2 linked regions of the Coturnix japonica genome follow. The protein of the gene in region 2 interacts with the protein of the main gene of each other region in a pairwise test. Links are inferred from orthologs where the notes say so. Each region holds a gene or a part of one and is shown on either strand. Other genes may lie near its edges.

What was found.
Region 1: the proteins of KCTD6 (region 2) and GRB7 interact in binary tests that used the Homo sapiens proteins (3 or more experiments, as listed by UniProt). The two-hybrid records come from large-scale screens. The link is inferred for Coturnix japonica from reciprocal best matches to the Homo sapiens genes KCTD6 and GRB7.

The regions. Positions count from the first base shown.
Region 1 is NC_029542.1:3,938,225-3,940,382, reverse strand, and holds the end of GRB7 (growth factor receptor-bound protein 7), read right to left. Parts: coding exon 2,122-2,158; intron 2,037-2,121; coding exon 1,920-2,036; intron 1,843-1,919; coding exon 1,782-1,842; intron 1,679-1,781; coding exon 1,591-1,678; intron 1,365-1,590; coding exon 1,271-1,364; intron 1,197-1,270; coding exon 1,050-1,196; 3' UTR 600-1,049; downstream 1-599. Other genes in the region: RDH8 (retinol dehydrogenase 8), read right to left, coding at 5-166, 241-337. UniProt on the Homo sapiens protein: Adapter protein that interacts with the cytoplasmic domain of numerous receptor kinases and modulates down-stream signaling. Promotes activation of down-stream protein kinases, including STAT3, AKT1, MAPK1 and/or MAPK3. Promotes activation of HRAS.
Region 2 is NC_029527.1:9,337,167-9,340,923, reverse strand, and holds the start of KCTD6 (BTB/POZ domain-containing protein KCTD6), read right to left. Parts: upstream 2,287-3,757; 5' UTR 1,927-2,286; intron 1,580-1,926; exon of another isoform or gene 678-1,579; intron 1-677. Other genes in the region: PDHB (pyruvate dehydrogenase E1 component subunit beta, mitochondrial), read left to right, coding at 2,425-2,523, 2,645-2,752, 2,826-2,888, 2,966-3,001, 3,088-3,373. UniProt on the Homo sapiens protein: Probable substrate-specific adapter of a BCR (BTB-CUL3-RBX1) E3 ubiquitin-protein ligase complex mediating the ubiquitination and subsequent proteasomal degradation of target proteins.

The DNA of each region.
Region 1 (2,158 bases), on a different chromosome or scaffold from region 2:
TCACCCAGAACATCAACGTGGCGCCCAGGGATGCTGTCGAGGCAGGCGCGGATGGACGCCTCATCACACACATCCAGCTGCTTCACCTCCAGTGTCCGGCCCAGCGCTGACCCCGCTGCCTCCACCAGCGCTCCACTGCGGGACACGTTCCTCACCGTGGCAATGACTGAGGGGGGGCACAGGAGGGATCAGCCCCCCACCCTCCCCATTTACACCATTGGGACCCCCTGTTCTGCTCACCTCGGAAGCGGCGCTGCTTGTCCCGTGCCAGGCGCACCGCCAGCGCCAGCCCGATGCCGGATGAGCAGCCGGTGATCAGCACGGTGCGGGGAGCCATGGCCACGGCCTCACCACCCACCTCATGGCTTTAATAGCTACTGGCCCCAAATCCCAGCTCTAATCCCCCCTCCCCACTAATCCTCCCCAGCTCTGGGATTTATGGGGCCGCGTGGCTGAGCTGCACGTGGTGCACAGAGGGGCCTTTGTGTGGCACCGGGGGGCACTGCAGGGACATGGCAGTGTGGGGGTGCTGCTGCCATGCAATGGGGCTGACCCCCCCGGCATGGTGTGAGGATGGCAATGGAAAGGGGAGAAACGGGAGCTCTGAAAAAATAACGTTTATTCTCACTTTGTATAAAACACATCACAGTTCGACTGGCCTTGGGTTGGGGGGGGGTTCATGGGGAGATGTGGTGGGGACCCCAAGCCCCTCATCCTCCTGATTGGGAGGGAGCATCTCCATGAGCCCCCTGGAGATGGGGATGAGGGGTCTGCAGCCATGACCCCATGAGAAGGAGGGGCTGGTGCTGGGGGGGACAAAGTGCAAGAGTGTGAGGGGCCACAGCAGTGGGGTGTGGGGTGAGCCCCCCGGCCCCTCCTGCGCTCACTGCTGCGAGTGGTGCCCTGGTGCGCTGGCAGGGACGTGCTGCACCGTGTTGACTGTGTCGAGCTGTGCCAGCACTGCTGCATGGTGCCGAGCTGTGCCAACCTATGGCAGCAATGCATGGTGCCATGCTGAGCTGTGCTGAGCCGTGCCAGCAGCGCCGGGCTCATAGGGCCACGCAGGTGCAGTAGTGCCGCAGCTTGCAGGGCAGGATGCCACGGTTGATCTGGTGGAACTCCACGAGCTGGATGAGGTCAGCAAAGCGGGTCTGTCCGTCGTCCATGGTGAAGTAGAGCCGCCCTTCCTCCTCACTCTGCCAGACAGGTGAGCATCAGGCCCGGCTGTGCCCCCACCCCCCCATATTCCTCCCACAGCCATGATACTCACTGGCAGGATGAGATAGTGCTTGACTTTCTGCAGGTGGCACAGGGACAGCACGAAGCCCTTGGGGTTACGCTGGCTCTCCCGCACCAGGAACACGCTGTGAGCCCCAGAGCAGAGTCACCCCAAAGCCCCAAGGGACCCTGTGTGACCCCTCTGTCTCCCTCCACCTTGGGATCCTATTCCCCACCACCCACCTCCCTGGCTCCAGGACCTCCCTATACCCCCTGTAAACCCTCTATGAGCTGTGGGACCCTGTGGCCCCCCAGGGGCTGTGTGCACCTCAGGGGTCCCTGATCCCCTCTACAACCCCCCCAGTTCTGTACCCATCCACCAGCCCCTGGCGGCCAATGAGCTGCTGGGTGTCCTCCCGTGAGATGCGTCCGTGGAACCACGGCTGGGTGCGATGGATGGCTGCGGGCAGAGGAGAGGGTCATCAGAAGGGACCCCCACCCACTCCAAGCAGGGACCCTCATAGTGGGGGTCTCCATGCTCCTCCCCTATGGGCGCTGCTCACCAGCACTGAGTGGGGAGCTCTGGCAGGCAGCAGGCAGGCTGTACCGGTGCGTTGTCTTCTTCTGTCCGTGCAAAGCAAGCAGCAGAGTGAGCACACAGTGAGGAGGGGTCCCACTCCCAGCCTGTGCCCCCCACTCACCCTCCAGGCCTGCGCCTCCTCCAGCACCGCTGTCAGCACCTCGCTGGGGTTCTCAATCACCCGCCCTGTGCACCCTGAGAAGTCCATGGCCACCAGCGCGCTGTCTGACACGCTCTGCTGTGGGGACAGTGACAGCGAGCTTAGAGGAGGGGGGGCTCCCCATGGGTCAGGGCTGCAGCTGGAGGGGGTGGGGGGCACTCACCAGAGGTGTGGGGGTGATCCAGGGGTGCTGGCTCAGG
Region 2 (3,757 bases):
ACAGGTAGTCCCATTAACTTCAGCAGGGCTTCTCCTCCCAGGTTGCTGCTAACATGCAACTATTTTAAAAGCTGAAATTCAAAGAAAGCAAATGAGAGCGGGCTGAACATCTGCATCTGTGAACACACATCCAGGACAGAGGCAGGGGATGTCAGCAGCACTGCCAAGTGTTTGCACTGCTGGGACTGAATACAGCACACTTGGCCCTGGGCACAGACTGCACACACTGCACTTGGATAGAACACAGCAGTTGTACCATCCTATGCAGGCAGATGAAGGAGGAGCAGAAACGCACCTAGCAGTCACAAGTCAAAAGGCACACGGCATCTGAGCTGCTCTGAATGCTTCTCAGCTACCTTGCTCAAAGGGAAGGACACAAACTGTTTACGGTCTACACAAACTGTTTAGTCTCAATATGTACTGAAGACTCCAAGGTCAATATAAAGTTGACAGGACTTCTACTAAGCCAGTCTGGTATTTATACAGATAAATACCTGCGGTTCATGCTGCTCTCCCACTTAGCGAGCTCACTGTCTCTGACATTAAGATCTCCAAAGATGAGAAAATGAAACTCCTGCTCTCAGTAGCCACACTGTCAATGGACAGCCTCTCTAATCCTGAGCCAGTCTTAAAATGTGAAGGCAAGTTTTTATTGCAAATCATTACCAGTGACTCACCTGAATCGACAGTCCTTCAGCCAGTGTAATTAACGACTGCCTTCCACAGAACTGCAGAGCAAGGCAATAGTCTGCAGAGCAAACCCAAGGCCATACAGTGCTGAGCTACCCCAAGCAACAAACTATGCTATGGAAACAACCGCTTACCAAAACTTCTGGTAATACCACAGCTTGGCATTGCTAAAGGATGAATCCCTCACCTACACACGTCAAGTTTACAATGATTAACACAGTTTATTAGAACGTAACTTCTCCTTATTTTCTCTGCTTCTTTTGGTTAATATTTCAGCCTTCACCTCAGGCAAGAGAGCAAAACACCAACAGTGGCCACTCAGCATTCTCGCTCCTTTATGCCTAATTGCTTCACTATGAATTCCAAGCTCTGAAAGTTTCTTTCCCACACCTGAGGAACAATACAACATCTCAGTTTGGGACTGGGTTCTGAAGCTCCATCTGCCAGATGCTTGAAAATCCCACATCACCATTTGACCCTCCTCATGCAGGAGTCCAAGGACTGCAACTGCACCTGCCCTGCTCCTGCTGGCACCACACAGTCACTCTGCACAGTGTCAGTAGTTGGTTTTACCCACGTATCTTGTTCCATGGCACCAGCAGGCAGCTGTGTGCATGGGGAAACATCTCCCAGCAGTGCTGGATGAAGGCAGGTGTCAGGAGCACATCCTGCACAGCCAACAGTGCTGACACAGGGACCAAGCAGCAGGATGGTGACAAGAATCGTCCCTTCAAACCCAGGCCCACAGGAGGAGTCGGGAACAGCCGCTTTCCATCCCAGAGGAACGCACGGAAGGAAATCTCCCCCTGAGATCGCAATGATTCAGCAAAGGATGCTGGACACGACTGCACCGCTCCACCCGCTGCCCCCAAGTGCCCATCGCCTGGATACCGCTCCCGGCCCCAGCCCGGCCCTCCTGCAGCGAGGGGCAGCCCCTGTTCGAACTGAGGGCCGGGTACAGCCTCACAACATCCCAAACGGGGCCCGGCAGCCCCCAGCCCCAGGTACCCGCAGTCCCACAGGGGGCCCAGCCCCGTTTCCCCCCCCCCAGTGCAGCCTCCGGCCGCTCACAGCCCCGTGTTTCCCTCCCACCCCCCACAGCAGCACAGCACAGCACAGCACAGCATAGCACAGCACAGCACAGCACAGCACAGCACAGCACAGCACAGCATAGCATAGCATAGCATAGCACAGCCCGGCCCGGCCCGGCCCGGCCCCGCCCCTCCTCACACTCACAGTCGCAGGTCCCGGCGCTGAAGCAGAGCCCGGCGATGATGGGGGCGACTGAACCGGGAGCGAAGCAGCCGCCGAGGAGGGAGGAGCGGGGGCGGGTTCTGCCGCGATCCCCTCCCCGTGTCTCCGCCCGCTCCGCTCGGGTGAGGGAGGGAAGCCGCCTCCTTTCACCTCAGGGCCGACAGTGGGGACACCTCGCTCCGCCCCACGCCTCCTTGGCGGGCAGTTGTGTCACTGAAGAGGGGCACACAGATGAAGGGGGGCGGTGGGGGCGGTGCGGTCCCGGCGGCAGGAGGCGATGCCGCGTTGATCGCGCCCCGAGCGGCGCCATGCGAGCAGCACCGAGCGCGGCACGGCCTCACCGCCACCACAGCGCGAGACCGGAAGTGACGCATAAAAAGAGCGCTGGCTGCCAGCGCCAGTTCTCGCGAGAGTTCAGGCAGGGGCCGAGGTAGCGCGGGGGCCGGGCCGTTGCCCGGTGCTATAGAGGACACGGCCAAGATGGCGGCGGCGGCGGGAGCGCTGCGGCTGCTGGTGCCGCGAGGCCGCCTTCTCTCGCCACGCAGAGGCTTCCACCTCTCCGCGCCCGCCGCCATCCAGGTACGGGCCGTGAGGATGGAGCTGGGGCGGGGGGTTCATCCGTACGGGCGGGGTGGTGCGGGTGAGCCGAGGGACGGCCGCCCTGCCCTGCCCAGCACTGCCCGGCTGCCGCTTCCCGCAGGTGACGGTGCGGGACGCGCTGAACCAGGCGCTGGACGAGGAGCTGGAGCGGGATGAGCGTGTGTTCATGCTGGGCGAGGAGGTGGCACAGTACGACGGTGCCTACAAGGTGAGGGAGGGGGGGCCCTGCCGGGGCCGCAGTGCGGGCTGTGCGGGGGCTGACACCGCTCCGATCCTTTCAGATCTCCAGGGGGCTGTGGAAGAAATACGGGGACAAGAGGATCATCGACACCCCCATCTCCGAGGTACGGCGCGGGGCTCCCCCCACAGGGCTCCCCGTGGGCCGAGCTGTGGCGCTTAATGCTGTTTGCTCCTCTTCCAGATGGGCTTCGCAGGAATCGCCGTTGGTGCCGCAATGGTCAGTACGCCCTCAGTCCTAATGAACTGATGTACAAAACGAGCTGCTTTGGTGTTAAAACATATCGTATGGTCTAACTCTGATAGGCGGGGTTGAGGCCGGTGTGTGAATTCATGACGTTCAACTTCTCCATGCAAGCAATCGACCAGGTTATCAACTCTGCTGCCAAGACGTGCTACATGTCTGCAGGAACCATCGCCGTCCCCATCGTGTTCCGTGGCCCCAACGGGGCTTCAGCTGGCGTTGCCGCACAGCACTCGCAGTGCTTCGCTGCCTGGTACGGGCACTGCCCGGGGCTGAAGGTTGTCAGTCCTTGGAGCTCAGAAGATGCCAAGGGGCTGCTGAAGGCATCGATCCGGGACGATAATCCAGGTGAGCACAGTCAGATGACGGCAGTATTTAACTCTCATTTCTGAATGCTTCTTTTCCTCTCCCACCTCATGTAAAAAGATAAAAAGTTTATTCAGCACTTAAGCATTTTGTGCTGTTCTAACCTGCTTGCAGGTACTCATCTAGAAGCTTTGAAAGACACATTTATGAACTCATTGTAAAGGCATTATAAAGGATGAAGATGAGTCAGGAGAAGTACCTGCAGATACAGTACAGTGTAACTCATTTTTTAGAGTTGATGAAGCTTAGATGATAAATTCAGAATCTCATTAAGCAAAATCAGGGCAACCTTCATCTTTCTTTCTCACAAGCACACGTGCAAAATGTAAGGCTTTTTCTGAAGCTAGCAGTTCTACAGAAACATTT